6 linked regions of the Cricetulus griseus genome follow. The protein of the gene in region 4 binds, or shares a complex with, the protein of the main gene of each other region. Links are inferred from orthologs where the notes say so. Each region holds a gene or a part of one and is shown on either strand. Other genes may lie near its edges.

Region 1 (4,140 bases), on a different chromosome or scaffold from region 4:
TGCCTTGTAATAAAACACTTTAGTGCTTCTAATCGTGTACTAGATGTTTTCTTCAATTGCTCAAGCTTGTATTTGTGCAGAAGAGTCTCTTTGATGCTATAACAACTGAAAAATATATGATACAGGACTCCCAAAATTATGAAGCTACAGCATAGTTATAGTCTTCCTGGTAAAAACAGTGGCTGTGGAGAGGGAGGCAATACTTACATTATACAACACAGAAGACATCAAAGGTCAATGTTCTTATCCTTAAGGTAGAGAAGAAATATCTAAATGTAGCTACACCACAAACAGATTTGCTGGAAAAGAAAAAGCCTGGGGTGTACAGAAAGCAGGAGATACTAAGGCCTACTCCTGAAGGACAAGTAGGAATTACCCACGTAACAAGAGAAAGTCATTCTGGATAGGTAAACACATGCATACAGGCTGAGAGACAAAAAAAAAAAAAAAAAAAAACCCAAGGTGGGTGACTAAGTCATTTGAATAAATGGAACATATAGAAACTGAACATAAATGAGATGGACCATAAGAGACCGATGAAGCTAAACCATGAAAGGCTTTTTATGGATATAGCAGAGCTTTGAAATTCTCCATCATAGACAGTACCAGACTCTTAACAGGTTCCAATTCTAAAATTAAGTTTGAGAAAGGGAGGGTGGTTTTTCATTATCTTAGATCCACAAAGGACTAAAGTTAGTCTGACAACATATAGAGAACACTCCTCTGTCTCTTATTCTTGGAACCACCAAGCTGTCTGTCATAATCTGCATCAAGGCAGCACTATTAGGTGCTGTGCCCTTTTAGGCACAGAGGAAACTGGACCCTGATGGTACAAACATAGGAGTGTATCACAGGCCTTCATCTAACCTTCATACTTTGTATCCTCCCCTTCCCCAAATCAAATCTGGTCCTCAGCTTTACTATTTAAATGTAGAGCTGAATATATTCTGCTAACTCTCATAGAATGAACTGGAATGACCTTTCTGATCATTATAAGTTTTGTTTGTTTTTTTTCCAGAGCACAGTCTGGCTTAAAGGAAATCTCTCCACAGAGAAATTTACAACATAGCCTCCAGACACACAGCACTACTACCCGCCACAGAAGCTCTGGTCTAGAAGGAAAGTACTCAATAAACTGGTTCAGAGAACCCAAAGGATTACTGAGCTTTGTGCAGCTTAAGCCATTAAAGAGTTAGGTTCAAGCACAGATTAAACATCAGTTCATTCTGGGTCTCTCATAGCAGCTCATTCTTTAATCACCGAAGCTTTTTCCTAAAGAAGGAAGCCCCATACTTGTTTTTCTGCTTTCTGCTCACTAGGATTTACTGATGTTACAAAAGGCAAAGGTGTGTTTCAATCCACTCCTCTGCCCATGTGCTAACTTTTAAGAAAATCCTTCCAAAGTTTGTGCTGTGGTCAGCATCCAAATGTCTTTTCCCACATTTACCTGGGAGATGTAAGAAAATGTGTAACAAGCCTGAGGAGCTGCTGAAATCCATACTAGAGTCCTTTGTGTTCCCCTACCCTCTCATGTTAGTAAGCTCAGACTTAAACAGAAAACAAAGGAAATTTGATAGTATAGCTGTATAAACTAATAACCACTTCTTTTTGAAACTAGTCTATGCCCTGACTGAGTCTGACTAGGCCAGTCATGAACAACTTAGGATGTTAGGGATAGAAAAAAATGCAGTCTATTAAATACAGTGCACAATTCACCGAAAAAATGTAGCTCATTTTTACATGTAAGGGTGTTTTGCCTTCATGTACATTATGTGCACAACTCAAGTGGCTGGTGCCAGCACAGCTCAGCAAGAGGCTATCCGGTCCTCTGAAAACTGGCATTACAAATGGTTGTAATTCACCATGTCGGTGCCTGGAACTGAACCCAGGTACTCTGCAAGAGCAGCAAGCACTCTTAACCTCTGAGCCATCTCTCCAGAGGCTTACCATGCTTAAAATAATTCATGCTTCCCCAAATCATTCTCTGCTTCCCTCAAATAAACGTTGGCGGGTATAATGGATAAAATTGTCTCGCAATTACAGCAGGTGAAAATAACTAGTACTGCATACCTATGTTTGGGACTTAAGAATAGTACAGATATTTTAGCGTTAGGATTAACGACGAGAGATAAAACGCACACCAAGCGAAACATGGAGCACTAGGGATAAGGCACACGACAGAGGTTCAGTCAAGTCGATGAGAAAGAACCACAAATGAAAATGTTAACAGGGTTGGCCAGTGGGCTATTAAGTTGAATGAGGCAAGAGCGTTACTACAGTTTATTAATGCCAGCCCCGGGTCCTGAGGAGCAGGGACTTCAGCAAGCGGGACTGCGAGGATACGGCCCTGGGAGCTCCCAGGAAAGGCGTCCACCCGCGAGAACCTAGACCAGAGCCCATTCGCTCAGTCCCCTCCACCAGCGCCAGGCCCGGCCCGCTCACGCCGCACCGCGCGGGGCGCGGGCCGCCGGTGGAGACGGCGCAGCCACGCGCGGAAAGCGAGGCCCACCCGGCCAGCACCCACTCGCATGCTCCTGTCCTCTACACGCGATCCAGCACCCCGCCGCCCCCACTCTGGCTGCTTGTCTATCCCGAGTCTCCAGAGTTCGGTAATTACCTAAGGCTCCACCGTGCCGCCATCGCACCGGAAGTGCGTCACTTCCTCTTCCCGGGTGAAGGCAGAGCGAGAAATTCGTGGAAATCTGGTAGTAAATTGACTCTAGTATGTTACTCTAGTAATGATAATACCGTGAGCAACACCAGAGTCAAAGCAATCCAGCCATCCACCCTGTCCCTCCTTGCCAAGACTGTGCGAAAATAGAAGTCCGTGTGAACTACAATGTCCAGGATCCTCTGGTAGCGCGGACGGAAATGAGAAGTAGTACCCTGCCAGAGATAACCGCGGAGCTTCATGGGAATTGCAGTTCGTAGTGGGTAGGCGGTCACAACAGAGAAACTTGATTGTGGGTTAGGTTTCCAGGCATGCAACTTATTTTAACAATTTCTATTACCATAAAAAGTAGCTCTTAGCAGTCACTTTCTGTTGGCTTTGTTTTTTGTTTGTTTGTTTGTGTTTTTGCAGTGTTGAAGCTTAACCTTAAGATACGTACTAGGTAAGTACTCTACCATAGAACAGAGCCTTACCATGAAGATCTTAAAAATGAGTAGAGTTCCCTAACCTGGTGGAGTGGCACACACCTTTAATCCCATCACTCTTAGGAAGCAGTGGCAGGTGGATCTCTGTGAGTTTCGAGGCCAGGCTGGTCTACAATGTGAGTCCCAGTGTTATGGTAGAAGTTTTACCCCAGCCCCTGACATCCATATATCCAAAGAATCTGGAATGTTATGGTGGAAGTTCCACCCATATCCCTTCCCCTATCTCCCTCCAATCCCTGCTTCATCTCAGAAAGCCTGCCAAATGATGACCCTCCCAGAGATGCTCAAGACCACTCCACAGGGTATTTAAACTGCTCCCCGGGTAATAGACATGTGGTTTTCAAGTCTTTCTTTCTGTCTCCTCTCTTGGGAGCTGGAAGTCCATCAGGGAGTATCCATTAAACATGGACTTTTCTCTAATTCGGTTTGATTTTGTCTGACATGGATTGCTGCATCGGTGGAGAGGCTTATCCGGGTATAGAAACCTTTCATCCAGGATAGCCAGAGCTGTTAACACAGAGAAACCCTTTCTCAAACAAGGTAGAAATCTCTTTCAGGCTTTTGACAAAAAGCTTTACCAAACGTCTGTTTAGCAGGGGGGAAAAGGTGACAAAATGTTTAGTTCCAAGATTTTAAAATCAAGTGAATGGAACCCAACATGTTGGTGCTCACTCCCAGCCCTTGGGAGGCCAAGGCTGGCATATGGCATATCTGTGTGAGTTCCAGGACAGCCAGAGCTACATAGTGAGCCCCTGTCCAAAAAAAAAAAAAAAAAAAAAAAAAAAAAAAAAAAAAAAAAAAAAAAAGAGCAAAATAAAAAGCAAAAAGCAAATTGTAGATAGATTGTTAGATTGTGACTCTTTGGTCTTAGGGAGGTACCACCTGGCATGCTTAGGATAAGGAGAACACTACTTTGTAACGCTGGAAAGTAAAATCTGTAAGAATTCACTGAACTGGCATCAATTATACTGTTTCCTTAATCTT
Region 2 (4,231 bases), on a different chromosome or scaffold from region 4:
CATATACCATAACAAGGATTTAATATTTGAAAACTTGAAGTAATTGAGAAAATAAAACTAGACAAGAAACCCTATTTACTTATCTATGATCATAAAACCAAATGAAAGATGACAAATGCCAACCTGGATACATTCTAACTAAATATTGCAAGTAACAGATAGCAAATAAAAAATGAGATAAGAGGGTTGGGAGATGGCTCAGAGGTTGAGCAGTATCTGTTCTTCTAGAGGTCCTGAGTTCAATTCTCAGCAACCACATGGTAGCTCACAACCATCTATAATGAGATCTGGTGCCCTCTTCTGGTGTGCAGGCAGAACACTGTATGTGTAGTAAATAAATCTTAAAAAATGAGATAAGAGTTCAGTCAGGCCCGGCGGTGGTGGGCGCACGCCTTCAATCCCAGCACTCGGGAGGCAGAGACAGGCGGATCTCTGTGAGTTCGAGACCAGTTTGGTCTACAAGAGCTAGTTCCAGGAAAGCCTCCAAAGCCACAGAGAAACCCTGTCTCAAAAAACCAAAAAAGAGTTCAGTCAGGGATGAGCAGTAGTGGCACACACCTTTAGTCCCATCACTCGGGAGGCAGGCGGATCTCTGTGAGTTAGAGACTAGCCTGGTCTACAACAGCTAGTTCCAGGACAGGCTACACAGGGAAACCCTATCTCAAAAAAAAAAAAAAAAAAAAAAAACAAGAGAGAGAGAGAGAGAGAGAGAGAGAGAGAGAGAGAGAGAGAGAGACAGAAGTTCATTGTTATACATTGTATATCATGGAACCAAGAACTTGTGTGTCTATTTTGCTCATGCTGGGGATGATACCCAGGGCCTCACACATAATTACATCTTCAGCCCAGGAGAGCAAATTTGACATTTTAGCTACATACAACTTTGTAGGAAAAATAAACAGTATTCTGAGGACTATTGACATAAAGGATATTAGTTAATATCTTTGAAACAAAAAGTCAACATTTGAAACAAGTTTAAAGTGTTACATAAGGAGAAATCAGTGGCAACTTCATTCACTGGACCAAACTAAAGAAATAAGTTAATAAAAATATCTCAGGATTACAAAAATCCTTCAAATGTTGCACATTTTACCTCAAAATAATTTAGAAAAAGTACCTATACAGGCATGGAGAAAGCATTGTTTTGTACATTGCTCTCCCCCCTACTTCCCTCCCTCTCCCCCACCCCCACCCCCCTCAAGAGTGCTCTTCCCAGGGTCATTCTATGTAGCCCAGAATGTCCTCAAACTTGCCTCTGTCACCAGAGCACTGATAATAGGCACACATCACAACCAGCTGCACACCTTCTCTTAAATGTAAAAATGGCCACTCTCCTAAATCTTATACTCACCTTTATTGTCAAGGAATACATAGCCATCAAATCGGTCCCTGAATAAAAGGATGTCTTCTTGGTTTTTAAAGTTGATATATGCTCTGGCAAACATATGAGGATACAGACTGTAGAGGGGAAACAGTTGTGTAAATATGGTTGCAGGTGTCTGGCTGAATTGCAAACATGTATATATTAAAGAAAGTAGCTCAAAAACAAAAAGTACAGAAGAGTGTTTTCCACCCCCATTTTTAATTTTTTTTTTACCTAGTATCATTAGCAAAAAACTCAAAATAATCATGCTCAGGCATAGGTTGAAGATGTTCCTGAAGCTGCTCCTTGGTCAAAGTGGGAGGCAATCTTCGAATTACCACCTTAGGAAATGAATGAGGAAAAGAAAATCAGTACACATCAACTTTCTGGCATACCCGAATCATGGCTCTTGATCGGCTTTAAAATACAAAAGCATTTAGAATAACCCTGAAAATACTCTGCAGCCCAAGCTCAGAATTAGTCAAAGGTAGAGAGAATGGGGGTTTATAAAACCTCTGGGAAATGAGAACTATCTGGCGCAAGGACAATCTTAGGTTCTGTTCTTAAATGGCAACCTCGCAGTTTAAAATCCATTTAAAAAAAAACGGAACTACTGGTAAACAGGTAGCCAAATTCCGATCTTTCGTGGCTGTAACGGAAGCATGTCTCTCACAGGTGTAACATACGCTGAAAGAACCCCCTCCCCATTCTGCTTAACATATGTAAAGATTTCGCTGAACGCCTCCTTCAAGGTCTGCCGCTTTAGGTCATCAGGTCCCTAAACGCAATTCCCTAAGTCGCCTCCATTAACACTTAACACCACAATGACTCCCACCCCTCACCCCCGCTGTTGAAAGGGCTATTTAGCAATTCAACCCAATTAAAGTTCCCCCTATCTTTACTGCCGCTCCCCCGTCCCGTGACCACCCACCCCACATCCGCAGCTCTAACTGAAAGCCTTGTCATCTGGGAGCCCCCCCCCCTTTCCCTCACGCCCCACTTCAGGGGCTTGATCCGAATCCGCTAATCCCATTCCCACCAGTGCGTGAGACAGTGCGAAGCGATTTTCATTCAGTTAGAAACGAGAGAGAAAGCCGGGAGAGGAAGAGCCCCATTCCCAGCCAACCTCCCCAATCGGTGTACACGTCCCGCCCTCTGTGGGGCCACCAGCCGATAAGCACCTTGCTCAAAGCGTCTTTCCTGTCTCTGTTGCGATCGTGCCTATCTTCCCCTCTGGCGCCTTCGGCAGTAGCTCCCACGCTGCCGCCTGTGGCACCCTGAGGCGTTAACAGGGTCACTCGCTTCTCCTTAGGCCTGTGATCTTTCTCTTCCTTCATGGCCACGGTTCACGCTCCTCAGAGCCGTGGCTCAGCTGCAATGCCGTTACGCCGGGCACCTACGACTCGCGGGTAGAGCCCTCAGGAGCTCCGCCCCTAACAAACGCCCCTAGTGATAAGCCCAGCCCGGCGTTCCATTGGGCTCTCCGAGATCTCGCGAGAATTTAGGGCACCCAGCTTCACTTGGGGAGAAGGTTTTAATACCTGGGCTTTACTTCCCGCCTGCCTAAACCCCGCGCTGCCCAATCCCCTAGCGGCCCACATTCCCTCGGGGCCCGCCCCTTCGCGGGCAACTTCGCCATCTTGTTTCGAGAGGACTACAACTCCCTGCATGCAAAGCAGCTGCCCGCCTAGTAGTAGAACGTGGGAATCATGCAGATGTCTCAGGGTCCCTAATTTTAACTACACGTGGTCATTTAATGTTACTTTTTTAGAGGGTTTTTTTTAATTAAAAAAAAAAACACACACACACACACAAGGTTTTGAGCAGCCTGTGGTAGCTAGTGCCGGTAATCCCAGCACTGGGGAGCCTGAGGGTGGAGGATCACAGCAAGTTCAAAGTCTAATCTAAATAGCAAGCTCAAGGCAAATTAGTGCTAGCTAGTGTAGCCCTGTATCAACCAAACAATCAATAGGTAAATAAATAAATAAATAGATAAGGAAAAGGTTTTTTTTTTTTTTAACCGAAGTATGCTTTCAGAAGCGTTAGAGTCTCTTTTGGGTGGTAAGCGGTTCTATGACAGTTTGAAACCAGCCTGTTGTACAGCCTGAGTTTCAGGACAGTCAGGGTTACACAGAGAAACTTTCTCTCTAAAAACCAATAAATAAATTCACTAATTAAATAAAATGAAATGAAATAAGGATTTACAGAGACTCAAGAAATACACAAGATAGTAATTTCAAGAAGCCATAACCAGCCGGTTGGTGGTGATGCATGCCTTTAATCCCAGCACTCGGGAGGCAGACACCGGTGGATCGCTGTGATCTGTGAGTTCGAGGCCAGCCTGGTGTACAGAGCTAGTTCCAGGACAGGCTCTAAAACAATACAGAGAAACCCTGTCTCGAAAAACCGAAAAAAAGAAGTTAAAACCAAAATGTATGAAATTTATTTTCACACACACACCCGTTTTTTTCTTTTTCTAATTGAAGGATTCTCTCCTGGTTTTGGTATCCAACAAGGAAGGAAAGGAAAATGCCCAACTTGATTTTGTTTACTCTCTTCATTTTAAAAAAGGACAAAATCGATTGTGAATCACCCCTCCTACAATTCAAATACCCATTACCAGGTGAATGGACAAGCAAGAATCAAGTCGTGGTGGTGAACACTGATACATGCCATAAAGATGAGCAATAAAAAGAACTATTAATTCAGGTTCAGTGGCAATTTCCTGCAGTCCCTGCACTTGGGGAGCTGAAACAGGAGGGTCATGGATTCTAGACCAGACTGAGCTACCCAACAAGATGTTTTCTGTGGAAGGAAAGGAGGGAGGGGGGAGGAGGGAGGGAGGGAGGGAGGAAGGAAGGAAGGAAG
Region 3 (4,041 bases), on a different chromosome or scaffold from region 4:
GTAGGTTTTATTATCCCTCATTTTGCAGATGGAAGTATAGTGACCAAGTTTAGCCAGGGAACTTATCTGAGGTCACATGGTCAGTATGGAGCATATTGAGGGTTCAAACCAACACAGAGATTTCAAAAAGTTGCTAGTTATTAATTCAGCAATCCAAATAAATAAATAAATAAATAAATAAATAAATAAATAAAAAACATGCAAACCAAAGATGTGAGAAATAATCTAGCCGTGTAGAAATAGTGCTTAGCTGGGTGTGATGGAGCACACCTTCAAACCCAGCTTGGGAGTTTCAGGATGGCCAAGGCTATACAGAGAAACCCTGTTTTGAGAAACAAAAACAAAAAACCAAATAGAAAACAAAGAAAAAGAAGTATTTGTTTCTCCACTCTTTACTTTTCATTACTATTACCAGAGAGCGCAGAAACAATGTAAAGGGCTCACTGGTAGTGAAGGACAGGGTCCTACCTCTTTTCTGATCATGACATCATTTTTGTAATTGCTGTTGTTGGCATATCGAAGTTTTCCTGTGGGGCAAATAAATAAATAAATAAATAAATAAATAAATAAATAAATGCAATTTACAACAAAACATCAACTCAGTAGCCTACTAACAATACCAACTTTGCCTAAATTATATCCAATTCTCTCTCTTGGCTGTCCTGGAACTCGATCTGTAGACCAGAATGGTCTCAAACTTACAGAGATCCACCTGCCTCTGCCTCCTGAGTATTGGGACTAAAAGTGTGGGCAACCACCGCTGTAGCCGGCATTATATTCAATGTTCAACCCAATTCACAGCTATTATATTAGTCTTTACAGTGCTCCACTTTAAATTATGAAACAGCTGAAGACTAACCTGACACTGAAATAGAGTTCAGGCAAAAGTTACTTTGATTTGGCAAAAGAACACAGGCAGGCTCTTTTACGACTCTGGCAAATAGCTTTTCAGCAGGTCAATGATCTCAGCTGTAAACAGAAATGATAATTGCTAAGTTCCCTGCACAGAGAACATGCTGAAAGTATTTTGAAAACGGTAGGAAGCGACATACACATGCCCATGTGGTCTTGTGGTATGATCTATTTCTGCATACTTTTAAATTGAGCACATTTGGTTCATAAGTCCTTCTGTGCATGAGTACAACCACCAGGCTAGTTTGGGTATATAGTGTCATGTGGCAGAAAAAAACAGGGAACTTTGGGGAGAAGCATCTAATTTAGTCTGACTGTCTGAGCAGGTTTCATGCATAAAGTGACTTAGGTGGGTGGAATATAGGAAGAATGTGAAGTGTAGGTGTGGGCTAAGGGACCAAGAATAGAGAAGATGGTGTTTTGGACCAAATTCACATCAAAGACACTGGAAACTAAAAAGTGCTTGGGATGTTGCAGGCAGAAACAAAGTAGTGTGGGCAGAGTATTGTAGGGTTGAAAAGGCAGACAGGAACTCAGCTTGGCTGTATGCCATGGTAAGGGGTTTGAATTTTGTCAGGAAGGCAGAGGGAAGTTATTGACAGTATCAGAGAACTACAGTCATCTAATTACACAGGCCTCTTGCTACATGTTCTTGTCCATCTTATAGAGAACTAACTGAAAAAGGGAAAGATTTGAGTAGAATTGTCCTTGCCTCCTCACCACACCACAACCGTCCCAAAATATTATCAATCAGATACATTCAGATCGTCTCCAACAGTATCCTAAGTCTTCTCCACGTCTATAGTCCTAGCTGTCCTAGTCCCGACCGCCATCTCATGTCTATTCTGTGTCCAAGCGCTAGGATGCTTTCTGAAGATCATCACACCTTTTCTCTTATAAGCTTCAAGCTGTTTCCTGCTGCTCCTATTTATGGTCTACAAACACCTAACATCATCTCCTACTGGTTTCCCTAGAATTCTGTCCTTCAGTCACCTCAACGGCCATCTGAAACATGCCTGGTTCTTTGCTGTCCTATGACCTCTACATTTGCCACTCCGATAGAAGACTTTTCTTCCTGAGCTTCACAAACTGACTGGTCCCTTCTCGATTCCGGCTCAATTCAAATACCCACTGTTCAGAGTGCTCTCGAAAAAGAGACCCTATTTTCGGATCACTCCTCACTACAGGAGATCACTGTTTATGGTTTCTCCCAGTACCTAAACACATGTTCCACGAGAGGGGAAATTTATCTTCGTGGCTCTGTCCCCAGAGTGGAACACGGCCCGGTGTAAGATGGACATTCAATCAATCTTTGTTGAAACGTTAACAACCTGGCTTTTTAAAGCCACTAAGAAGCCGGGCGTTGGTGGTGCATGCCTTTAATCCCAGCACTCGGGAGGCAGAGGCAGGCGGATCTCTGTGAGTTCGAGGCCAGCCTGGTCTCCAGAGCGAGTAGGCTGCCAGGACAGGCTCCAAAGCTACACAGAGAAACCCTGTCTCGAAAAACCAAAAGAACCCAAAAGTTACTAAGGAGAAGCTCCAGCGTATGGACAGAAAGGACCAGTGAGGCCGAAAGAAAAGACTACGCCTTTCACAACCCAAGAGCTCCGGTCTCAGTCCCTTCCTTCACAAAAGCCGCGGCCCGGCCTCTCCGCCCTCCCCCAGGTCCCGTTTCCCTTCCTTGTAGGCGGGAGGCCGCTCTTACCGTCAGGTCGGAATTCAAACTCCAGGAACTCATGACCGAACTTGCCTTTGTGACCCACGTAGTAACGTAGGTAAAAGTCACTCTCCATGGCTCACACGGGACAATCAAGACCGAACTTTACGAACAGATCACACTACCACGATCTGCGCCCTCTACTGACGTAACGGCGGCGCGCGGAAGTGACGCCACAACCGCGCCGTTAATAACAGTTTTTTCACCCTTGGGAGGCGGGAACGAGACTACCCCGCCCCCGCGTCCTGCGGCGAGATCCGGATCACCGCTCCTCCTTTCCGGAAATCGAGTGCTTTGCGAGGTCCTGCGCTTCCGTTACGTCCTGGGCTTCCACGGGGCAGCTTTACCTATAGGCTTAGGGCCAACCCTGCGATCTGTAGTCCAGTCAGGCTCAACCGCAATGTAAAGACACACGAAAGAGGCCATTCACACTCTGAACCCAGGTGGTCTCCACAGTAAAATGGGCAAAAAATGGCTCCCCCATCTTTGAGCACGCTGCCCCCTTCCCCACCCCCAGGGTCTGAATCAGGAGTTGCGTTTGAGGGGCAGTGTAGTAGCGAATAGCTGTGGCCTAGCACTCAAAAGCTTAACGCCGCCCAGGAGTCACGAGTTGAGGCTAGAGGCTGCATACTGTAAGACCCTGTCTCGAAAAAGTTCGCTTTACTTTTTTTTTTTTTTTTTTTTGAGACAGGGTTTCTCTGTGGCTTTGGAGGCTGTCCTGGAACTAGCTCTTGTAGACCAGGCTGGTCTCGAACTCACAGAGATCCGCCTGCCTCTGCCTCCTGAGTGCTGGGATTAAAGGCGTGCGCCACCACCAACGCCCGGCTCGCTTTACTTTTGTGTGTTTGTTTTGGGTTTTCCAGACAGAGTTACTCTGTTTAACAGCTCTGGCTGTCTCTTTTAAGAAAACTTTTCCCCGAGCAGTGTTAGTGCACACCTTTAATCCTTAAGGCAGGTGGATGTCTGTGAGTTAGAAGCCAGCATGGTCTACAGAGCGAGTTCCAGGACAGACCCCAAAGCTACAGAGAAGCCTTGTCTCGAAAAACAAACAACACCCCCCGCCCCCCCCCCCCGTTTTCAATGACTCCTTCCCCAATCCACAACGTTGCCTGGAACTTGTCTGCACTGCCAACATCCCCTTCTGCCGTTTGCTTATTTTACAATTTATAGGCAAGGTGCAGACTGACGGGGCACTTGTGACCCTCCTACCTCAACTTCCAAGAGTGTCACCTCTTAGGCACAAGTTGCCTCTCATCTCTCCTGTCTCCCAGGCTCACTGCTGTCTAGGATAGGTGCTGTGGGAGGATGTTAAAGTGGACATTGGATTCCCACTCCCAGATACCTTACCCACAGTGATTCTAAGCCACACACACACACACACACACACACACACACACACACACACACACTGT
Region 4 (4,255 bases):
TGCACTTTAATCCCAGCACTTTGGAGTCAGAGGCAGGCGGATCTCTGAGTTCCAGGCCAGCCTGGTCTACAGAACAAGTTCCAGGACAGGCTTCAAAGCAATACAGAGAAACCCTGTCTCAAAAAACCAAAGGAGAAAAAAAAAGAAAATAAAATTAAGGCAAATAACAGTTTGGAGTATAGTTCAGTACCCAGCATATGGAGGGGGGAATAAAAAAAAAAAAAATAAAGCTACTAAAAGAGTATCTTGGGCTGGAGAGATTGCTCTTCCAGAGGACCCTGGTCCAATTCCCAGCACCCACATGGCAGGTCACACCTGACTGAAACTCCAGGTCCAGGGCTTCTGACACACTCACACAGACATATATGGAGGCAAAACACTAATGAACATTTAAAAAAAAAGTATCTTGCATAAATCTACACTGAGTAGGAGAGCAGTTGCTCAGTATGTGCAGTGACCTGGATATGACCCACAGCACCAAGCACCTTCCCAAAATATACATGGCTAAAAAAAAGGGGGGAGGGCTTTTCTAGATAGGGAAAAAAGTCAATGCTGAGCTGGGGGTGTAGAGAGGACAAGGCAGACTCATCTTCCCACAGCCTCACTGACCCAAGTTGGCTCTCAGCACCCACAACTTACTGTGCAATGACATCTCTCCCCTTAATTATCTGCTTGATAGCACGCTGCTGGATCGCTGAAGGTTTCTCAAAACCTGCAAATACAGAGAGGAAAAAGACTCAGCCCTCATACTGTGACAGCGTAGACACCACACAGCACAGGCTCCCTGGGGGCACACATACATACAGGCTTCTTACTGCCAGCCCAGGCCGCCAGGTGAACCACGCCTTACAGACTGGCCTGGAAGATGACCTGTGAGGACAGTGTCTACAGAGCAGCACTGAGAAGGTAGAGGCAGGAGCACCAGGAGTCCCAGGTCCGCCTAAGCCACATGAAACCCCCTCTGCGATAAAAGTCATAAATCCAGAAGCACAGAGGTTGCTCCCTTTCCTACTGGCGAGCACTCCAATCCACTTGCTGCCTGCCGTCCCCAGCATGACGTGGGCACCGCATGCTGCTCTCACCTGGCTGTAGCCCCATTATCTAGGCACCACCCCTAGACAGACGAGGCATGGTTGTGCACTCCCTAAATCCCAGCACTCAAGAGGCAGACAAAACTTACATTGAAAAGCTATAGTTCTTTTTTTTGTTTGTTTGTTTTTTGTTTTTCGGGACAGGGTTTCTCTGTGGCTTTGGAGGCTGTCCTGGGACTAGCTCTTGTAGACGAGGCTGGTCTCAAACTCACATAGATCTGCCTGCCTCTGCCTCCCGAGTGCTGGGATTAAAGGCGTGCGCCACCAACGCCCGGCCTTATAGTTCATTTTTATACTTTAAGCTAGCAGCTGGGCAGTGGTGGCTCACACCTTTAATCCCAGCACTTGGGAGGCTGGATCTCTGTGAGTTCGAGACCAGCCTGGTCTACAAGCCTGAGTTCCAGGGCAGCCTCCAAAGCCACAGAGAAACCCTGTCTCAAAACAACCGCCCTCCCCAAAAGGTTGTAGCTAGCACACCTTCCCAATTCAACACAATACCTATGATGGTTATCTTAGTGGTCAATTTGACTGCATCTGGAATTAACTAAAAACCATTTAAAGTGGGAAGACCCACCTTCCCCGTCTGCATAGTGAGTTCCAGTTCAGCTAGGGCTATGTAGAGACCCTGCTTCAAAAACAAAACAAGGGTGGGGGGGAGATATGGTGGTGCAGGCCTTTAATCCCACCACTCAGGAGGCCTGTGAATTCGAGGCCAGCTGGTCTACAAAGCTACAGAGAGAAAACCTGTCCCAAAAAGAAAAAAAAAAAAAAAAAAAAAGAACAAAAGCACCATCTGGGAGGCAGGGGCAGGTAGATCTCTGAGTCTGAGGCCAGCCTGGTCTGCAAAGAGTTCCAGGGCAGCCAGGGCTACCATGAAGACACCCCTTCCCCAGGTCTGGAAAGAACAAAACCTAACAAAACAGACAGAGCGCAGCCTCCCTCAAATGCTCCTAAGCACACAGCAGCCACATGACGCAGGGCTGCACTCTGCCTGCCACTGCCACCAGCAGACCCTTCAGCCCCAAAGCATCCCCAGCATCCCTTCTTCTGCGGCCCGGACATCGTCCCGCCTCCTCCTCCAACTCGCTTCCCTCCAAATCCGGACACCAAACTAAACGTTCAAACGGCAAACCCGACCCTACCGCCTTTCCGCATTCAACTGCAGAGGCTTCGGGGTGGTCTAGGAGCGAGTCTCACCACACCTCTCACAGCCTGGCCGCGGGCGTCCTCCGTGCGCCCCGGGGCTCGCTCTCCTCTAACTGTCCGCGGCCCTAACGGGGCTGAAACCCCGCAAGGCCCGACCCTGCGGGACCCACGGCCTCGGGGCCCGGGGCGGGCTCGCACTCGGCTGCCGCCACCCCAGCGACCGGGCGAGCCTGGCTGGGCGGCCCGCGGGAGAGCCGGGCCTGCGCTCCGAGCGGCTCGCACCTTCTCCGCCACCCCGCCCGGCCTCCCCGCGCCGCGAGGCCCGCGCCCACCGTAGGCGTAGATGCCGCGCAGCAGGTCCTCCCGCAGGCCCATGGTGTCGAACGTGGGGGTCACGTCCACCTCCTCGCTGGTCTCGAACTCCACCTTGGTCATGTCCTCCTCTTTGAGCAGCCGCTTCCGCGCGGAGCCCGACGTCGCCATCGTGGCCGCGGCCGCCATGATTCCGACTCCGCCGAGCGCCGAGCGCGAGCCGCGGCGGGAACCGGAAGCAGGGCTCCGACGCCGGCGCCGGCGCGGGAGGCAGGAAGTGACGCCACCACGGAGCGACACGGCCCTCCCAGAGGCGGGAGGCGCCTGGTGTGGCGGAAGCGGGAAGCGCGGCGCCGGGCGTGGGCGCCGCTCCCGTTCTCGCGAGATCCAGCGCAGCCGCGTGATGTGCCCCCGCGCCGTCGGTGCGCGCTGTGGGGTTTAGGAGGCTCCGGGCAGGGGCGCGGGGTCCCCGGGGACGCGGCGTGAGGGACGCCCTCGCTCAGCACCGCCCCCGCCCGCGTTGCCATGGCAACCCCGTCCCCCGCGCGTCTGCGCAGCCAGAGCCGTGTGTCTGGCTGTGCCCCACGTGAGTGTGTTCCTGGGAAACGCTCGCTTACACCTGGAGGACACTCAACTGCCAAGAGTGACTAACGAGACCCTCCTGTATGTGTGCACACTCACACACACGTGTACTCACACACTCACGTGTGCACACTCACACTCATGTGTACACACACATATATACACACATCACATGTGTACACGCTCATGTGTACACACTCACACATGTGTACACGCTCATGTGTACACACTCACACATGTGTACACACACACGTGTACACATTCACACATGTGTACACACACACGTGTACACATTCACACATGTGTACACACTCACGTGTACACATTCACGCACGTGTACTCACACTCATGTGTGCACACACATATATACACACATACACATGTGTACATACGCATGTGTACACTCACACACATGTGTACACACATGTGTACACACTCACACTCATGTGTACACTCTCACACACATGTACTCACACTCACGTGTACACACTCGCGTGTGCACACTCGTGTGCACACTCACACTCGTGTGTAAACAGACACGTGTGCACACTCACACATGTGTGCACACACACGTGTACTCACACACTCGTGTGTACACACACATATATACACACATACACGTGTACATACGCATGTGTACACTCACACACATGTGTACACACATGTGTACACGCTCATACACTCATGTGTACACCCTCACACACGTGTACTCACACTCACACTCACGTGTACACACTCTCACGTGTGCACACTCACTCGTGTGTAAACAGACACATGTGTGCACACTCATACACTCATGTGTACACCCTCACACACGTGTACTCACACACACTCACGTGTACACACTCTCACGTGTGCACACTCACACGTGTGCATACTCACACACGTGTACACACTCACACATGTGTACACACATATACACGTGTACACACTCACGTGTACTCACACATATATATACACACACAGTACACACTCACACACACACGAGTCTTTAAAAGCTCCCATAAAAATGGAAATCGTTTATGTCCAGTGGTTAGAAGCAAACTGTCCGTTTCTGGAGAAGTTGCGGGTTGCAAGATACCCGCGCTAAAACAAGTTCCTGCCGCCTTCTCTTGCGAGCCTGG
Region 5 (3,015 bases), on a different chromosome or scaffold from region 4:
GTTTTTACATTGAATTACCAAGCAGATGCTAGAAAAGATAGCCCTAGTTATTTAATCAAAAGGCCTAACTCTGCACTTTATGAGATACAGCAAATTACGAATTAGCTAAGATTCTCTAATAATCACAAAATTCTTGGTTTAACTATCCAGTGGCAATTTCTGGAACAGGCCTGCTACCCATCATGAGAACACATCACCAGGGCAAAATACAAGCACTGGCTCTCCCTAGGAGAGAAACATTTTCATTTCTAATGACGCCCTCTCCATATCTGCAGGTATTTTTCTAGAACTGATAATTCAGAAATTAGATCACTAAGGCAAAAACAGATGGAAAATATTGACATTTTCTGATATATACTACCAAACTACCGTCTAAAAGAAGTATATCAGCTTAGAAACACAGATCACTACCTCTCTTTCCTTATACCATACTCTACATTGGGCTCTTGCCACAGAACAGCTGTGTCTCTGCTACTTTGAGCATGTATTAGATCTCTCTACATTGTCTTCTAGTCAAAGAAAGCAGTGGATATAAAGTACAATCCTCAGGAACACAGAAAAATGAAAATAAATGTTTCTTTCTCCCAGGCCTTGTATTTCATTTCTCTGAGAATTGAAAATTCCCAATTCAGAAACCAAACTGTCTTTATACAGAGTGAAGCTGGGCCTGCAGAGTCCTCTGGGAGCACTCTGAGAAACATCAAGTGTTCTGAAGGGAATATAAGAGGCAAATACAGTGGTCCACTTGAACAAAAAGAAAAAAAAAAAAAGGAGAAAAAAAAAAAAAAAGACTTTTTCTGGGGCATTCAAATAAACAAATTCTGAAAGATAAAAATTTGGAAAAAGTGAATTGCTGCACTCAGTGATAAGAACTAGCTCTCAAATTTAGCTAGCAATATTGTACTGATTTACAATAGAAATAATTAACAATAATGGATAATTTACATAGCAGCGTCAAACTATCCTAACTTTGGCTGGACAGACTAGACAAAAGATGTAGAATACTGTCTAAATTTAGACCTATGTGCTGACTCCTCTACAGTTGAAGATAGCAAAGAAATTCAAGCTAAGAGCTGGGAGGTGTAACTTGGATGGAGTACTTGCTTGCCCAGCATGTATGAATCTTAAAGAGAACAAAGTTATATAATCAAACTTTCAATAAGAAACCATGATGAATGTATAAGATAACACACAGTCGTTGTATCAACTGACTCTGTCCACTTAAAAAATCACGAAGCACAGACCTGTCTGCCAACCCTGTCAGGGGGTGGCCACAAAGCATCGTCCTCTTTTGTTATTTCACTGTCATCAATAATTCTCTTCAGTTCTTCCATTACACTCTTGTGAACATAGGCCTGAAAACCAATGACAGTAAAATCTTATAAGGTTCATCTGTCTTCCCACTGTTCAGCAAGATATAATAAAAGCAAGCTATAAATCCTAAATATTCCAACAGAATAGGAGCAAAAAATTGAATTTGATTCCAAATTCATCCATCTCACAATTTTTTTTCTGCTCTCTTGCCTTTAATCACACACCCTTCCCTCTTCTCACAACTAGCTGCTTTAAGGCTCCACAGTCTGCCAGTTGTAACAGGAACAATCTGCTTATTGCAATTAATGGAACATCGTAAGAGCTATATTGTAAGGACACAACATAATCACCCAGGGGCTGGCAGGCTAAGTCCAGGCCACACTTTCATGTCTTTCATTTAAAAATCACACTTCACAAAATGAATTAAATGATACGAGGCTATAAATATTACAAAATGCTAAAATCAGAACCATCAAGGGGATAAAAGCAGCCAAGACTAAAGACCTGAGCTCAATCCCTAGAACCTGCATAGTAGGAAAAAACCAATTCCTACCAACTGTTCTTTGATTTCTACATACATGCTGCTACATGTGTATACAATACAACACGACACAACACACACACACACACACACACACACACACACACACACACACACACGTTAGAAAAAGAAACTTTTAAAAAATGCTGTAATATGTAATTAAAAGAGAAACCTTTGCAACTATAAATTGGTTTCTTCATTGAAACAGAACCTATGAATAACTTTTGTCAATACAGACAAGATAAATGAACAAAATGTAAAATATTAGACATTTGAAAAGAATTTAGCCAGAGGCAGGTGGATCTCCCTGAGTTCAAGGTCAGCCTGTTCTACACAGTGAGTTTCAGGAGAGCCAGGGCTACAAAGGTAGAACCCATCTCAAATGAGAAAAAAAACAAAAAAAGGAGAGAGAGAGAGAGAGAGAGAGAGAACAACTTACCTCTTTTCTTATCATCACATCATTCTTATAATTGCTGTTGTTGGCGTATCTAAGCTTTCCTGTGCAGAGATAAAGAACACCATGAGCAATTTTAAAGGGAAGGCCAATTTCATATCCCACTTTTAGTAGCAAATCTACTTTCCTCGTGTAAGATGAGTGATAAACACTCAATAATATAAAAGTGAGCTAGCAAACTTAAATATGTTCCACAGCATGATGTGGTAGAATTTGGGGAGCCCCTTTTGAGGGCCTTACCCTGCCTGGGGAGTGGAGGGGGGATGGCTAGGGGCAGTTGGGATGTTGGGTGGAGGGGAGGGAGAGGGAGAAGGGATTGACACGTGAAGCAAGCTTGTTCCTAATTTGAACTAATAAAAGAATAAAAACTAATAATTAAAAAAATGTTCCACAGCTTCCATTTAGAATGGGTCAGGTTTCTTAAGGCCTGTTCTCACCCCCCTCCCCTTTCTGAGACAAGATCTCACTGTGTAGTCAGGTTGGTGGTCTTGAACTCACAGAGATCTATCCACCTGCCTCAGTCTGTGTCCTAACTGCTGGGATTAAAGTTGTTCACAACAAACAAGATTATTTTCTCAATCTAGCCCCTAAACTAAACGTGACTGTGACAAAGCACTGAGTATTCTCTTCAAGTGTGACATGCTGATGCTTAAGGCAGCTCTCACAGCATTTCTTCTGATCTCTAAAGGAATTCGAGCAGCAGCTT
Region 6 (4,153 bases), about 1.3 Mb from region 4:
TTTTGAGGAATTAAGAGAATGACCAATCATCACAATGTATCCCAGGCAAGCTTCAAACTCAAGCCTCCTCTTGCCTCTGTCTGTGCCACCATGCCTTGGCAAAAACAAAAGTGTTGTTTTTGTTTATTTGCTTTTCTTTGTTTTTACAGACAGACTCTCATTATGTAGCCTCCAACTCAGAGGCTACCTGTTTCTGCTCCCAAATGCTGGTATTACAGATGTTTGCCACCATGCTGGATAGGGTCTTTATACAAAAGTGAGTTTGAAGAATTCGTTTATTTTCTGTCAACTTTCCTTCAGGAAATGGAAAGTAAAACCCACGGTTTTATTTTCTGGTTTTCTTAGTTTTTCGAGACAGGGTTTCTCAGCGTAGCCCTAGCTGTCCTGGAATCTCGGAGATCCTCCTGCCTCTGCCTCCCTAGTGCTGGGAAACCCAAGGTTTTCAAGGCTGGTGGAGCTGGCCGAAGTTCTGAGAGCACGGGGGAGGGGGGGCACTTACAGTCTGGACAGCAGCCATTAAACGCCATCCTGCAGATGCCACAGTTCTCATCGTTGGCTACCCAGAGCCACGTGGCCACACCATTCCAGCACTTAATCTTCACCTTCATGGCAGCAGAGCGTGCGACCTGAGGGAAGAGGGTTTCCTGGCTAAAGTTACTCTGTATTACTACCACAGACGGCACTTGAGCATTTAAGGCGGGGAGCTGCGTGCTAGGCGCCTCCAGGGAGCCAGGCTCCCAAGTTGTTTTGCTATGTTGAAGGTCGTTTTTAGAGCTGTGCACCCAGGTAGCGGGCCAGGCTGGCTCACGCCTTTAACCTCAGCGCCGCGGAGGCAGATCCGCCCAAAACCAAAGGAGGAAAACAAAAACAAAAACCACTGCATCCATGAAAAACACCTCGGTTTTCACTCACAACCCGCGCGTGACAAGCCATCAGCTTGCTAAATTTAAATAAAATTAAATTTTAAAAAACCATCCCTTCGAGCCCACAAACCCCAAATCGGATCCACAGATCGGCCCCCCGCCTCGCAGCTCAGGGACTCGGCGGGCGGACGGACCGAACTCGATCCGGCGCCTTCCGGCCTGCGCAGGGCGGATCCCAGGCCAGGCCCCGCCCACGCCTCGCCCACTCCACCTAATCTCGCGGCGCCCCGCCCTTCCGTTGCAGGAGCGCGGGAGGTATAAAAACGACCGCGCCGCGCCGGGCGCCACACACTCGCGCGGGCCGTCCTCCTGAGCGCAGCGCAGGCGCCCTCCGCTCTCCGCGCGCGCCGAGGCCAATCAGGGGCAGCTTCGGGGGCCGCGACGCCGGAAGACCAGGGGAAGCTCCGGAAGTGACCTAGCGACGTGCTGACGCGCGGGCTCGATCTGAGGCCCGATTCCGCGCCCGCCATGGCCGACAAAATGGACATGTCTTTGGACGATATTATCAAGCTGAACCGGAGCCAGCGAGGCGGCCGCGGCGGAGGCAGGGGCCGTGGCAGGGCCGGCGCCCAGGGCGGCCGCGGCGGGGCGGTGCAGGCGGCCGCGCGGGTGAACCGAGGCGGCGGGCCTCTGAGGAACCGGCCCGCCATCTCTCGCGGCGCCGCCGCCGGCGGCAGGAACCGGCCGGCTCCTTACAGCAGGGTGAGCACGGGAGGCGCGGCGCCGGCGGGGCGGGCTCCCGGCGCCCTGAGGCGGGCGGGCGGGCGTCCTGCGGGAACCGCGGGAACGGAACGGAACGGAGGGTGGGCGGGGGCGACGCCGCGCGGTGAGCGAGGCCCCGGTCACAGGCCGGGATCTTCCGGGACGCTTTGTCCGGTCCGGTCCCGCCTCGTGGCGGCGGAGCGGCGGGCGTGGGGGTCGTCTCCTCCGGGCTCTCGGGCCGCCGTGAGAGAGAGAGTGTGAGTGCCGGGGAGGGATCGGGGCGCCCGAGACGAGGTCGCTCACGAACCTCTCTTTCCCTTCAGCCGAAACAACTTCCAGACAAATGGCAGCACGATCTGTTCGACAGCGGCTTCGGGGGTGGAGCCGGCGTGGAGACCGGCGGAAAACTGTTGGTGTCAAACCTTGACTTTGGAGTGTCAGACGCAGATATTCAGGTAAGAGACCAGAGCCGTCCGCATGCTTATCCCCACACACAGAATCCCTTCTGATCAGAGCCTGTGCTCCCCCAGGCTGCCCAAGGGCCAGCCGCTGCCCTCACAAAAAGTAGTATCCCCTGGGGTTTGAATGTGACTGATAGGTCAGGCTGCTTGGAAGGCAGCCTGGTGTGCCCCCAGAGTGGCTCTTGTCTGCTAACGTCACGAGCACCTGCCGTCTGCAAGGCTTACAGTTTCTAACGGGCACAGACTGGCCACAAGTCCGGTCCCTGTGTGACCGAGGGTGCTAGCTTCTCAGGCTTTGTGCCTGTAGTAGTAAGCTTATGAGAAGGAAAACTCTCCCCACCCCCACATGTCTGAAGGCACAGGGGTGAATGGTGGCTGTGTGTCTTCCAGACTGACCTTTCCTGGGTCTTACCAGGGGCATTGTTCTCATACCTTTGGTTGAAGTCTTTTTTTCTGTCTGTCTGTCTGTCTGTCTGTCTGTCTCTCTCTCCCCCCCCCCCCATCTCTATCCTCTCTCCCTCTCTCTGTCTTTCTTCTGGCCCTCAAATGCAATTAGAGTTAACAGAGCAGGTTTTTAGGAGTTAGTTTTGGGTCATGGGTGCTGGGCCTTTCTGGGTTCCCTTTCTCAGAGCCCCGCCATTTGGCCTTGTCAGGGAGCATAGAGCAAGGCCAGTGAGCACTCACAGTGTCTCCACACTTTTTTTAAGGTGGTTTCTGGCATCCACTGGAAACCGCTTTTGGTGAACTTCACTTCCCGCTGTGTGCCTGCGGCCGAAGTAGCCCCACACTCTGGGTTCCCTCTCCAACTCCCAGCCTGCCTGAGGTCAGGGCAGTCTCCATGGCGCATTTGACTTCAGACTTTGCAGCAGGCTTGAGTAGGAGGAGAGGGAAAGGTGAGCCAGAATCTGCCTTTGGGGGAGGGGCTTGGGTCACAGCTCCCCAAATCAGTGGGCCCTTTGAGCTGTCTGCTCTATGAACAGCTTCCCTTGGTTTTTCTCTTGGCCTTTGCTATCTGATGAAACAGCCATTAGTCAGGTTGTGAGTGCCCTTGCTGAGAGAGAGGTAGTTTCTGTGTGCTTCCTTCACCTGCATCATGGTACAGTCACACACGTCCCAACGTGGACAGGAACCCAGGTGCTCAAAGTGACACCCTTCCCTCACCTCTTGATTGCCTCTGCCCCGCCCCTTTTCTGGGTGGTGGTCAGTAAAGTAGCACCCAGGAACCCTCACAGCTACTGAACTGAGCCTCTAGAGGGAAAACAGCTTAACTGCTTGGCTAACAGTTGCCCTGTCCACTTCCAGGAACTCTTCGCAGAGTTTGGAACGTTGAAGAAAGCAGCCGTGCACTACGATCGCTCTGGCCGAAGTTTAGGGACAGCAGATGTGCACTTTGAACGGAAGGCAGATGCCCTGAAGGCTATGAAACAGTACAATGGTGTCCCTTTAGATGGTGAGTATATGGGGCTGGGCCCAGGATGCCTGGGGCTTACGGAGTTTGGGGCTGGCACCTCTCCCTGTAGGAATATGGGCTGCCCCTGTGGCTGAGGACACTTTGCATTTGCCCCTTTGTCTCTCTCTTCCATTCTGCCACCTCTCATGCTGCCCCACACATCTGGACCAACCTCTTGTGAACCCCCATCCAGCAAGCTACATCCCTCCCCTCCTTCAGCTCCTTCCGGAAGATTCACTTCTGTGAAGCCTTCTCAGAACCGCCATAGTACAACCTGAGTGCGGGGCTGTAGTCGTAAAGACAAAGGTACCTGTTCTTCTTCCGTCAGGCTACCCACACCTGTCCACCCATGAGCACCCTGGACACCTGACCAAACAGCCCTCTTAGCCTGAACTGAGAAGGAGTGAGGAGGTGTTGGTGGGGTGTTATTGCCACTTTATTTTCCCACCAGGCTCTCTAGGCCTTGTACCTTGTTGGGGGCATTGGAGACACACAAAGGCCCTTTCTAGAGCTTGCATGGAGACCAGGGTGTGGTGCCTTCTGGGTCAGCTTCAGAGCCTCTGGAGTGAGACTTGTTGTATTCTTTACCATAGGCCGTCCCATGAACATTCAACTCG

The links.
Region 1: the proteins of Eif4a3 (region 4) and Cwc22 are in contact, whole or in part, in a crystal structure (PDB 4C9B), measured with the Homo sapiens proteins. The link is inferred for Cricetulus griseus from reciprocal best matches to the Homo sapiens genes EIF4A3 and CWC22. Residues at the interface, in NP_055555.1 of Homo sapiens: Met43, Gly44, Ile72, Ile73, Lys74, Gly75, Gln98, Cys99, Met183, Gln213, Val256, Ala257, Glu259, Trp263, Asp266, Thr267, Asp270, Leu271, Tyr272, Asp273, Thr274, Leu275, Thr276, Ile277, Thr278, Gln279, Ala300, Asn301, Phe302, Thr303; in NP_001362958.1 of Homo sapiens: Thr129, Gly130, Gly131, Ala132, Tyr133, Pro135, Pro136, Ala137, Lys138, Arg140, Lys164, Asn167, Gly168, Ile170, Asn171, Lys172, Val173, Asn174, Ser176, Asn177, Ile180, Ile181, Glu184, Ala207, Ser208, Ile210, Phe211, Tyr215, Lys330, Arg331.
Region 2: Eif4a3 (region 4) and Upf3b share a complex: the UniProt entries of both Homo sapiens proteins name them as parts of the mRNA splicing-dependent exon junction complex. The link is inferred for Cricetulus griseus from reciprocal best matches to the Homo sapiens genes EIF4A3 and UPF3B.
Region 3: Eif4a3 (region 4) and Magoh share a complex: the UniProt entries of both Homo sapiens proteins name them as parts of the ALYREF/THOC4-EJC-RNA complex. The link is inferred for Cricetulus griseus from reciprocal best matches to the Homo sapiens genes EIF4A3 and MAGOH.
Region 5: Eif4a3 (region 4) and Magohb share a complex: the UniProt entries of both Homo sapiens proteins name them as parts of the mRNA splicing-dependent exon junction complex. The link is inferred for Cricetulus griseus from reciprocal best matches to the Homo sapiens genes EIF4A3 and MAGOHB.
Region 6: Eif4a3 (region 4) and Alyref share a complex: the UniProt entries of both Homo sapiens proteins name them as parts of the ALYREF/THOC4-EJC-RNA complex. The link is inferred for Cricetulus griseus from reciprocal best matches to the Homo sapiens genes EIF4A3 and ALYREF.

What each region holds. Positions count from the first base shown.
Region 1 is NC_048599.1:97,135,506-97,139,645, reverse strand, and holds the start of Cwc22 (pre-mRNA-splicing factor CWC22 homolog), read right to left. Parts: upstream 2,801-4,140; 5' UTR 2,618-2,800; intron 1-2,617. UniProt on the Homo sapiens protein: Required for pre-mRNA splicing as component of the spliceosome. As a component of the minor spliceosome, involved in the splicing of U12-type introns in pre-mRNAs. Promotes exon-junction complex (EJC) assembly.
Region 2 is NC_048604.1:29,397,791-29,402,021, reverse strand, and holds the start of Upf3b (regulator of nonsense transcripts 3B), read right to left. Parts: upstream 2,801-4,231; 5' UTR 2,701-2,800; coding exon 2,545-2,700; intron 1,705-2,544; coding exon 1,598-1,704; intron 1,459-1,597; coding exon 1,352-1,458; intron 1-1,351. UniProt on the Homo sapiens protein: Involved in nonsense-mediated decay (NMD) of mRNAs containing premature stop codons by associating with the nuclear exon junction complex (EJC) and serving as link between the EJC core and NMD machinery.
Region 3 is NC_048595.1:41,959,463-41,963,503, forward strand, and holds the start of Magoh (protein mago nashi homolog), read right to left. Parts: upstream 2,801-4,041; 5' UTR 2,706-2,800; coding exon 2,618-2,705; intron 528-2,617; coding exon 469-527; intron 1-468. UniProt on the Homo sapiens protein: Required for pre-mRNA splicing as component of the spliceosome. Plays a redundant role with MAGOHB as core component of the exon junction complex (EJC) and in the nonsense-mediated decay (NMD) pathway.
Region 4 is NC_048600.1:131,838,114-131,842,368, forward strand, and holds the start of Eif4a3 (eukaryotic initiation factor 4A-III), read right to left. Parts: upstream 2,801-4,255; 5' UTR 2,739-2,800; coding exon 2,570-2,738; intron 713-2,569; coding exon 640-712; intron 1-639. UniProt on the Homo sapiens protein: ATP-dependent RNA helicase. Involved in pre-mRNA splicing as component of the spliceosome. Core component of the splicing-dependent multiprotein exon junction complex (EJC) deposited at splice junctions on mRNAs.
Region 5 is NC_048601.1:16,036,677-16,039,691, reverse strand, and holds part of Magohb (protein mago nashi homolog 2), read right to left. Parts: intron 2,354-3,015; coding exon 2,295-2,353; intron 1,356-2,294; coding exon 1,245-1,355; intron 1-1,244. UniProt on the Homo sapiens protein: Required for pre-mRNA splicing as component of the spliceosome. Plays a redundant role with MAGOH in the exon junction complex and in the nonsense-mediated decay (NMD) pathway.
Region 6 is NC_048600.1:133,091,013-133,095,165, reverse strand, and holds the start of Alyref (THO complex subunit 4), read left to right. Parts: upstream 1-1,353; 5' UTR 1,354-1,391; coding exon 1,392-1,625; intron 1,626-1,948; coding exon 1,949-2,080; intron 2,081-3,388; coding exon 3,389-3,536; intron 3,537-4,129; coding exon 4,130-4,153. Other genes in the region: Anapc11 (anaphase-promoting complex subunit 11), read right to left, coding at 500-608. UniProt on the Homo sapiens protein: Functions as an mRNA export adapter; component of the transcription/export (TREX) complex which is thought to couple mRNA transcription, processing and nuclear export, and specifically associates with spliced mRNA and not with unspliced pre-mRNA.